Linked DNA regions of Caenorhabditis elegans. The protein of the gene in region 2 interacts with the protein of the main gene of each other region in a pairwise test. Each region holds a gene or a part of one and is shown on either strand. Other genes may lie near its edges.

What was found.
Region 1: the proteins of gln-6 (region 2) and M01E5.2 interact in a two-hybrid assay, tested with the Caenorhabditis elegans proteins (one large-scale study listed by BioGRID).

What each region holds. Positions count from the first base shown.
Region 1 is NC_003279.8:13,275,854-13,282,190, reverse strand, and holds M01E5.2 (Mitochondrial ribosome-associated GTPase 2), read left to right. Parts: upstream 1-2,015; 5' UTR 2,016-2,034; coding exon 2,035-2,278; intron 2,279-3,030; coding exon 3,031-3,100; intron 3,101-3,153; coding exon 3,154-3,265; intron 3,266-3,315; coding exon 3,316-3,423; intron 3,424-3,689; coding exon 3,690-3,760; intron 3,761-3,823; coding exon 3,824-4,021; intron 4,022-4,271; coding exon 4,272-4,545; 3' UTR 4,546-5,223; downstream 5,224-6,337. Other genes in the region: M01E5.3 (RNase NYN domain-containing protein), read left to right, coding at 452-522.
Region 2 is NC_003282.8:9,738,404-9,743,326, forward strand, and holds gln-6 (glutamine synthetase), read right to left. Parts: upstream 2,499-4,923; 5' UTR 2,452-2,498; coding exon 2,112-2,451; intron 2,049-2,111; coding exon 1,697-2,048; intron 1,621-1,696; coding exon 1,293-1,620; intron 1,248-1,292; coding exon 1,161-1,247; 3' UTR 858-1,160; downstream 1-857. Other genes in the region: C28D4.10 (Ubiquitin-like domain-containing protein), read left to right, coding at 107-170, 393-551, 663-817; C28D4.7 (DUF1248 domain-containing protein), read right to left, coding at 3,494-3,626, 3,672-3,880, 3,923-4,423, 4,533-4,709.

The DNA of each region.
Region 1 (6,337 bases), on a different chromosome or scaffold from region 2:
CGAAAAAGCAAAAAAAAAATTTGACGAAAAACACCAAAAAATGAAACAAAAAATCAATTTTTTTACAAAAACCGAAAAATTGTAATTTTAGACAAATAAAAACCAAAAAAGAAACAATTTTCTACCAGAAACTTTTAGAAAACCAATTTTCGACATAAACTCCGAGAAAAACCAATTTTTGATTTACAAAAAAAAAAACCCGAAAATGCCAATTTCTTACTAAAACTAAAAATAAATAAATAAAAATCCCATTAAAAACTTTTTAAAAACAAATAATCAAAAAAAAAACCAATTTTCGAGAAAACAAACCCGAAAATATCAATTTCTTACAAAAAACCCATAAAAAAATTTTTAAAACAAAATTTAAAAAAATTTCGGTTAAAAAATGTATGCCAAAATTTTAAAAAAATCTAAATTGATTAAAAAAAATAATATCTCTCCAATTTTGCAGACGATGAAGTGATGGAAGTAGGAGGAGTCGACGGACAATTCATGATGGATGGCCGAGCAGTTATGGAATAGTTTTCCCTCGTCCACGGCCACAATCACCTCTTCATTCAACAACTAATCTTTCTCACTAATATATTCTTGATTTTCCCCAAATAATCCCATTTTCTTCTTCATCTCCATTGAATTTTCACGTATCCGGGTAGTATTTAGGATATCATTTCGTTTCAAACCAGTCCCCCCACCACTTTTTTTTTTTTGAAATCTGAAATATTCAGATTTCCCCTGTTATTATTTAATACTGTCACAGTCATTTCTGTACCTTTTTTGAAGTTTTCGCACTGAAAATTTTCCAATTTTTCATTAAAAATAGCCCAATGTGTCGTCGTTTGTGCCTTTTCGGTCCTCCTGTTTTTCTCGAAAAAAAACCCGCTTTTTAAAAACTTTTCTTCATATACTAAAACTTTCAGTAATCCCAGTGTGTGTTCTCTCTTATTCATTTTTTCCCACCAATTTTCATACAAATTTGAAATTGTACAGAATTTTCCCTTTTTTCCTTTTAATTCTTAATGCTAAAATCACTTAATTTTACCCAAAAATAATTTACCATGTCTTCTCTAATTCCCTGTCTCTCTCTCTCTCTCGCTTGATTCACAGTTTGACGTACTCCGCCGAACAATTTCGCTTCTTTTTTTGTTGAAATGTTTTTTTTTCACACCTACATAGCCTATAAGCTCCAATTATTGTGTCTCTCAGCGGCTTATTTGATATATTGTCCACAATATTTCTCGTGTTCCTTCTCCTTCTCGCTGACTTGGAGATTTTGTTTTTCCAATGAAAATGTATTTTAAATTACTTTCAAACGAATTTTTTCAAAACAGTAAAATTTTCGATGGTTTTCCATATTTTTCCCAGAAAAATCGCTAATTTTGATGAGCATTTGAATTGCCGCGCGCTCATTCTTAAGCTCCGCCCATTTTTCCGTGCCGCATTTTCCAGGTTCGGCGCTAATTTTTCGATTAATTTCTTTATTTTCTAGTGAAAAAAAAGGATTTTTGTGGAAAAATTTCAGCCAAAATCCGAAATTTTCTATTTTTTCGGTTTTTTTCGGAGAAAATCAAAAAAAAAAATTATTTAAAAAAATAGTCGAAAAATGTCTTCAAAAGTTGAAAAAACATTAAAAATTAAAATTTTTCCAATTAAAAAAAAACCAAAAAAGTTTCGTTTCTCGCCATTCCGAAAATTTCGAAAAGTGCGGCACGGAAAAGTGGGCGGAGCTTAGAGACAATAAAATTTTATTGATTTGTTCATTTTTTTCATGGATTTTACATTAAAATTCAGTTATAAAATAAAAATAAAAATAAACAAAAAAAATGTCTTCAAACGCTGCAAAAATTTTTTTTCGCCTTTCTGAAAATTTCAACAAAATTCAAAGTGCTGCACGGAAAAATAGGCGGGGCTTAGAGACAACTTTTTGAAAAAATTATTGATTTTTTCATTTTTATATAGATTTTACATCAAAATTCATTTATAAAATTGAAAAAAAATTCTGCAAAATTAAATTTTAGAAAAAATTACTGGAAAAAAATGCGAATTTCCCTGCAAAAATGCTCCAAAACCGCGTGCTCCGTCCTATCAAAACGTCCAATTTTATCGCCGAAAAAGCCGAAATCCGAAGGAGAAGCCACTTCATTTATTGATTATCGACGTGTTAGATGTCAGGCTGGAAATGGTGGAAATGGAATGGTTTCATTTTTTCGTGGATATCGGAAACCATTTGGTGGTCCAGATGGTGGTGATGGTGGACATGGGGGACATGTCGTTTTTCGAGGTACTTATTGCATGCTGAATTATTGGAAAAGCACGAAAAAATCAATTTTTTCAACGAAAAACTCAACCAACTTGGGTCTCGCCACGAAAAAAACTTTTCAGCTACAGTAACCGCAATTTTTGGGATTTCCTTGATTTTTTACATAGTCCAAACTTGTTAAAATTTGAAATAAAAATCAAAAGTGAGTTAGAAAAAAAATAAGCGGGTACGGTAGCTGATTTTCGTGGTGGGACCCGAGACTGTGAAAAATTGATTTTTCAGCAAAAATTTAATAGAACACCGGTGAGCATTCAAGAAAATTGTGAAATTTGGTTTTTTTTCATACGAAAAAAAAAAAATTCAAAAATGGAAATACGTTTTAGTCGTAAATTTTTCATTTTTGAGTGAAATTTTACAATTTTTTAACTCTAAAATTCTGCGGAAACCGATATTTTAACACATTTTCACCTAAAATTTCAAGATTTTCCACTAAAAAGTAGTCTTTTTAACAGTTGAAGTGAATTTTCACAGTTTTTTGATTAATCTTCCGTAAATTACGTTCCATGGTAAAATTTTATAAAATAATAATGAAAAATTGAAAAATGTATAGAAAATTCAATTTTCAGTCAAGCTTTCTGATTTTTAATATAAATTTATTTCAAATTTAGCGCGAAAACTTTGCGATTTATTGAGAAAAATTTAAACTTAGAAAAAAAAAGTTTTTAAAAATTAATTTTAAAGCTACAAATTCTAAAAAAAAATCAAATTTTCAGCCAGTCGCAGTAGTAAAGATCTCTCGACAGTTCACTCAATCGTACGGGCTCAAAATGGAGAATTCGGCAGGTATCCGGCTACCACAAAAAAATCGTAAAAAATCTAATTTCTACATTTTCCAGATCAAAATCATGTCACGGAAAATCAGCAGACCATAAAGAAGTTGAAGTACCTCTTGGTACCGTATTCAAAGCTGATGGGAACACAATTTTTGAGTTAAACAACGAAAATGATGTGAGATTCTCTCGATGGAGCGTACTTACAACATTCAACACTTTTTTTAGATGTTCATTGCGGCACGTGGCGGAGTTGGAGGACGTGGAAATCAGTTTTATGTGTCGAATGAGGTCCGAAAACCATTTAAAGCAGAGTATGGAGGAGAAGGAGAAGAGGTTTTGTTCATATCTCTTTTAATTTCAGTTTGTAGTCGATTTGGAGTTAAAATTCGGAATGAGCGTAAAATTTTGGATCGTAATGATGTGCGACATGACCAGAATAGGCCGGGCCTGCTTTGTGCCTACTTCATGCCTACAGCCTGCCTACCCGTAGGCACAAAGTAGGCATCGGGCATGTCGCACATCGATCCGGGCCTAAATTTTGCGCTGATCCCGAACATGCACTCCGAATTGGGCGAAAAATTCAAATAAAATTTTTTCAGCTAATTTACGACGTGGAAATGCGAGTTATGGCGACAGCAGGCCTGGTTGGATTCCCGAATGCTGGAAAATCGTGAGTTTTTCTGGAAATTTCATATAATTTTCGCGACGAGACCAAAATGTGCTCAATTTTCAGTTCGCTGCTCCGTGCAATTTCCCGAGCCAAACCGAAAGTCGCCTCGTACCCATTTACAACGCTCCACCCGCATATTGGTGTTGTATTCTATGAGGATTTCGAGCAAATCGCGGTTGCCGATATTCCAGGGCTCATTGAGGATTCTCATTTGAACAAAGGGCTCGGAATCTCTTTTTTGAAGCATATCGAACGATGCGAGTAAGGGAACATTCACTGTGTCGATTTACGCAGATCGTGTAGTCCTCGAGGATAAGATTTAGGCTGAAAAACTAGATTTTAGCCTATTTTGGCTCAAGTTCAAGTTCAACAGTAAATTAAACATGTACCAATTCTAATAGTTAAAAAAAAACTGTGAAATCTTTTCCTCGTGGAGTACACGAGCTGAGTAAATCTACAAATGGTCGTGTTCTTCTTCCATGCTAAAAGGTTAAACATATCGTGTTTTCAGATCCCTGTGGTACGTATTGGACTATTCCACTGGATCACTGACAGATCAATACAAAATGCTCCGCGTTGAACTGGAAGGATATCAAAAAGGGCTTGGAGATCGAGCATCAACAATTGTAATCAATAAGATTGATTTATCAGGGAAGAGCCCGGAGGAAGAAGCTCACCACCTCTCTTCACTCTTCCCGAATCTCCCTGTATTTCCTGTTTCTGCACAACAACGGATAGGATTGGAGCCTCTATTAGAGCATCTTAGAGAACAATATGATAAATGATTTAGTTAGATTTTTAATAAATAATTTTATTTTCCGTTGACCTTGAATCCAATTAAACTCAAGTCGCCGTCTCGCAAGAGCCCGATGCGTAGACTTCTTTTTAGTGAACTGCCAGAGTCACTATTTTTAGTGAACTGCCAGAGTCACTTATTTTAGTGAACTGCCAGAGCCACTTATTTTAGTGAACTGCCAGAGCCACTTATTTTAGTGAACTGCCAGAGCCACTTATTTTAGTGAACTGCCAGAGTCACTTATTTTAGTGAACTGCCAGAGCCACTTATTTTAGTGAACTGCCAGAGCCACTTATTTTAGAACAATCTATTTTTCGTGAAACAATCTATTTTTTCGTGTAACAATCTATTTTTTCGTGTAACAATCTATTTTTTCGTGTAACAATCTATTTTTTCGTGTAACAATCTATTTTTTCGTGTAACAATCTATTTTTTCGTGTAACAATCTATTTTTTCGTGTAACAATCTATTTTATCGTGTAACAATCTATTTTTTCGTGTAACAATCTATTTTTTCGTGTAACAATCTATTTTTTCGTGTAACAATCTATTTTTTCGTGTAACAATCTATTTTTTCGTGTAACAATCTATTTTTTCGTGTAACAATCTATTTTTTCGTGTAACAATCTATTTTTTCGTGTAACAATCTATTTTTTCGTGTAACAATCTATTTTTTCGTGTAACAATCTAAATTAGAAAATTCATCTACCGTTCTAAATTGGAAACTTCATCTACCGTTCTAAATTGGAATATATTTTGGAATATATTCTGGAATATATTCTGGAATATACAAGGAAAACCTGGAATCTTCTAGAAAAGTCTGGGAACTTCTAGAAACTTCTGGAAAATTCTGGAAAAAAAATTAAAAAGTTTTAGAGAAACTCAGAATCTTCTGGAAAAATTTAGAAGCTTCTAGACTTTTCTAGGAAAACCGGGAAAATTTTATAAAACTCTAGAATCTGCTAGAACTTTCTAGAAAAATCTGAAGACATCTAGAAACTTCTGAAAACTTCTGGAAAAATCCTAAAATTGCTAGAACGTTTTAGAAAATTCTGGAGACATTAAAAAAAAATTGGAAACTTCATGATTTTCTTAACAGGAAGAATTTCGCCAGGAAAAGGTGTAACTGCGCAAAAGGCACAAAAAGCAATTAGAGAGTTATTGAAACAATTTGTGTAAGCCATTATTTATTTTCTTTTCTAAAACAATGAAACTATAAATTATCGAATATTTTCCGCCACAATCTTTGCCTCCTTTTTCAAATCTCTTCTCCAGCAGAAGACAAGTATTAGAGAGGTGAATCCTAAGAGACCAGTCGGGAATAAAAAGAGCCAGTATTCCAGATCACGCTGAAAGAATTTTTTGCTGAAACTGCAAACTGAAAAAAAAGGAAAAACTTACATCATAATATGTGTGGCATCGTTGAATTCCGCGAAATTCTCGAACGCAAACCAAACTCGAGGAGATCTCCATGCAGTCACTGGAAATTTATTATAGAGTACGGGTACTTCACCCCTCAACCTCACCTATTACTGGTACTGTACACCCGGGACGCTTGAATCGGCGTCGACCACCGATCGCTTCTTGTCATTCCCAAAACGGTATTCAATTTTGGATCGCAATAAACCATTGTCAAATTGGAAGGAATATCCGAAGTATCCGAGCATGTAAGATTATAGTACCATGGAGATTCGGCATAAACTCGTAGAATGTTATTTTCCAATGCAACTAGAAATTAGAATGATTCTTTCAAATTTTTGAATAGTTTCAAAAAGTCTCTCT
Region 2 (4,923 bases):
CAACAAACAGCTACTGTAAAGTAGGCGTAAACCAGTTGGTCAAGTTCATTATCATTACATATTCTGTCCATAATCACATATCCTTAGACATTCATTTCTTCCTCAAATGCGATTCATTCTTCTCACCACATTTGTCACTTTGACAACATTTTTCCGATATTCTGATCAAGGTGGGAAGCTGTGAAAACAATTTTTTGGAAAAATTATGGTTATTCTCACAGTAGTAAATCCCTTCTTTGCAAAACTTTAGCATTTTGACTACTTCCACTTTTCGAACAAAATATTAGTTTCAACAGTATTTTTCAGATTTTATTCAATAAACTTTCATTTTTCAAAAAAACATTCGTATTTGCCAAAAATTAACCCAATTTTTCAGTTAATCAAATTTTCAGCTGTTCGCCCTGTAACCCTATTTATTCATTTATTCGATGTAAAAGGAAAACGATCAACCATTCTGGATGAAGGATATAAGTATACTGTAGGTGAATTGAAGAGTATGCTTGTCAAAGAGATTGATGTGTCCGGACATATTTTGAGACTTTATTTCGAAGGTTGGTTTTTGATGTAATTTTTTAAACTAAGCTGAAAAATATTCAAGTAATCTGTATTCAAAAATGCACGAAGAATACGAGAATCCGATGCTATTGATCTCGTTTTTATAGGTCAAGAACTCTGGATACCCGACCGTACTCTAGCAAGTTATCGAGTTCGTCCAGGAGATACTGTAGATATTTACCTGGAAAATATAGCAGAACAACTTGCAATCAAATTCGGAAATCAAGACAAAAGTCCAGACGGAAAATTGAGAGATGAATAATCAAGTTCCAATCGTACAGAAAAAACGCAATATTTCGGAATGCAATATTTTAATAAATTTTAAACTAATTCTTATAAACGTTTTGAACACTTCTTCCGAATATTTAAAGCTGAAAGGGAGAACTTTGGCGCTTTCTATCAATGTCCCATGATAAGCAGATGCTTTAGTGTTGTATTCGAGATTGGCTAAAGAAGTATTATAAGACACATGCAGTTAGTTTTTTGAGTTGGGATGCGTTTAAATTACAGACTATTACAGGAATTGGTGAGATGATACGACATGAAATCATAAGGTTTGCAATTAGACCGAGTTTTTTCACATGAAATAATGAGTAGTTAAGGAATCAATTGATCAGCACGCTTTTCACGATCATTGCAGTCACCAGGTATGGATCACAATTCGACGATGGACGGCGGTCTTCGAGATATCCCTGTAAAATATATTATTGTTTTATTAAGGGTTTACTGAAACTAACTCTTCCTTCATCAGCAACTTGACGTGGGATACGAACTGAGCAAGCACGATTAGCAATTCCCCAGGAGAATTGGTCGGCTTGACTGGTCTCATGCCGCCCAGTGAGTCGGCGCAAATTATCATGTCCTCCATTTGGATCGTATACTTTCATGGCTTCTGAATGAGTCTTTTTAAGTCCCTCCATAGCTGCGATAATAGTTTCCAATCCATCTGGTCGACGCATATCAATCGTTGAGAAGTTTGTATGACAGCCAGCGCCGTTCCAATCGCCCATTGTAACGCGTGGTTTGGGGTCAAGAGAGACGCAAACTCCGAACTGTTCGGCAACTCTAAAAAATCAACATTACAATGAGTTTTTCTTGCAAAAGTTACAATGTGAAACATTTGACAGAATTTGAAAATTACCTGTGCAATATGTATCTAGCCATCCACAGCTGATCGCCCATTTCAATACCCAGGCAAGTACCAATTTGGAACTCCCATTGTCCTGGAGTGACCTCCGCGTTCGATCCGAATATGGTGATTCCTGCGTGGAGACAAGCACGATAATGAGTCTCAACGACTTCACGACCAAATGCACGATCGGCCCCAATACCGCAGTAATACTTTCCTTGTGGTGCAGGATACCCGTGTTTCGGCCAGCCGAGTGGATGTTCGTCTCTGTCGACAATCAAGTATTCCTGCTCCATTCCGAACCAGGGTTGCTGATCGGAAACCTTCTTCATGAGTTCCGCACACATTTGTCGGTGATTGGTGGCTGGAAAAATAAAACGGTTTAGAAAAAGCTCACAAAATTAATTCAGGGTAAAATTTTATTTACCTGTGGGCTTCATCTCATGATCTAAGGTGTCGCACATCACAAGAACGTTCAATCCTCCAAGGAACGGATCAGGGAACACTGCCACCGGTCTCAGATAACGATCAGAATTGAGGCCATCAGCTTGTCCAGTCGAAGATCCATCGTAATTCCAGATCGGATACTCGGACAAATATTGCGGTTTTGTGTTGATAGTACGTGTTTTGGCACGAAGATGTTCACCAGTTCCATCAATCCAAACATATGTAGCTTGGCATTTTGTTGGATGAGCTGGAAGTCCCATGAAGTGATCGATGGTTGCCTGGCCGAGCGGAAGACGGGTCTCGTAGTTGAGGTGGGACATGTTGTCTGACGAGATAATACCCGAGGGGCTGGCTTTGAAGGCTGAAAAATTAAATTCAGAGATGAATAGAAATTCAGAAGAACACTACAAAAAAAGGAAGGATATGAATGGTGCGTCCATAGTCTGCGGAAAACGGGAAATTCCCGCGTGCGGAAGCGTCCATAGTCTGCGGAAAAAAACAAGGAGTTTCTCGCTTTGTTATTGGTCAATTTCAAAATAGTGGGCGTGTTCAACCGATTAGAGGCTGTAAAATTTTAAGCTGAGCAATGGGAAAACAAGAAACAACAGCTGATTGGTTGGCCACGCCTACTTTTTTGAATTTTGAGGAAAAAAAGCGAGGAACTCCGGTTTTTCCACAGACTATGGACGCTTCCGCACGCGGGAAATTCCCGTTTTCCGCAGACTATGGACGCACCAGAATAATAAACTGATTAATGAATTTCGAAATACACAGCTCACCATCGAAACAGCAAAACAAAAAATATGCCGCGCGCGCAGCACTTTGAGATCAAAATTCTTTTGCGAGATAAGAAAAAAAATTGCGGGGGAGCACGTTTGCATCAGGAAAAAAATCCGAGACAGGAAACTGTGAAATTTTGCGAGAAAAAAAGCAGCAAAAGTAACTAAAAGGGCAGTGTTTAAAATAATTTCGATGTTTGCTTTCAAAAGTGTCGAAATCACTGGCTAATTGTCTGAAAAGACCGAATTTCATAATATTATGATTCTAATATTTCATATGAAACTGCTTGAAAACTTTTCATAAAAAAATTAATGAAGGATCAAAAAATGGCCTCAAATTAGTTAAAACTTGAAATTTGACAGACCTGTCAATGTCGCACCGGCCGAAAACATTTTTTTTGAAATCACTGTCAAATTTTGAGTATGCAAGTAATTATTTTGCGTTTTCAACTTCATTTTGGTACTTTAAAGTCGATGGACGGCGAGATTTTTATGTGATTATGATTCACCAGCTAGCAGATTCAATTTGTCAAGATAATCATTTAAAAAAAATAAAATTTTAATTTAATTATTCATTATCAGTTCAAATTGCACAAGTAGTGTACGGTGCATTCGCGAATGCCTTCTTGTAGTTAATAATTGGAGAGTGAGTTTCGTAAGTCAAATATCCCATGATTTCCTTTCTTATTGGATTTTTAACAAAGGGTTGAATCCATCTAAAAATAAAATGAAAATTGAGATATCATAAAACAAAAACTAACTCAAATCCTCCTTCACATTGATCGATTGATCTTATTTGGAATCTCAAAAGCTTCTTGTCATTGAGTGGAATTTCTTTTAAAATGCTTTTGAATATTGCCTGAGCCACTTTACTATCATCAGCATATAGTGGAGTCAATACACATTCACCAGATGGATAGATGATCACATTTCCAAATCCAATCACTTTTCCATTATTGTCGTATGCTACCTAAAGATGTTCAATTGATAAAACTCAAATTTTGAAACAAACCTTTCCAAAACCTTCAGGATCTCTAAGAAGATTTAACAGTTTCACAATATACATATTTGGTGCCTCCGTTGCATTTTTAAGGAATATTCCATCAAGATTCAAGTCGTCAGGAACCTGCATCTCATCTGGCTTGTAATATGAAACATTCTGAATATGTCCAGCATCATTTTGTCCATGCATTTTCTTCCATAAGTTCATCGAAGTAGGCATGCATTGAGCAACAGCATTATCTGATTGATTACGAATTCTGAGCTTCTCAATATAATCAGTCAATATCATGCTATCAACTCCACGATAATCTGCATCAATCCAAAACATTCCACGATATTGATGATTTGTGTCATTGTTTGATGGTATCGGTGGGAAGGTGATGACGTGGGATGTTTGAATTATTTTGTTAGTTCCCTTTGGGCAAGTAAACCACAGAGCATAACGGCCTTCAAATGACTTCATCCACATTGAAATGTCGTTTCTTTTGAAGTTCAAACGTTGATTTCCGTACTGAAATGCATCTGAGCTCATATATGATTAAATTAAAACAAATGAACATTTTCAACTTCTCAATGTAGTCTTTATGCCAGACTTCTCGCAACTCCTGAAAATGACTTACCACTTTCATATACTCATCAATCATTTTCTCATCAGGATTGATTATAAAATCAACATTTTGAAGTGTAAGTGTATCTCTTGGTTTTCCATCCACAGTTTTGTACTTGATTGTCCTGAGTGAACTGGCACTATTCGAAGAAACTTTCGTGAGATGGCGGCCAAGAGATTTGAAGAGCATTCAAGTCGAATTGGGCAAGTCTAGTTTTATGAATTAATCGGAAAAATCGAAAACATAAAAGTAAAATAAAAAAGGTTAACCGAACACGCAAGGTCTTCGAAGGTTCTACACGTGGGAAACTATTCTAAAATCTCAAAATCTTATAAACATTCTAAACACTAATCACTTGGAACTGGCTGCATATGATTTGTTGGTATTGTATCGTTCAAAAAAC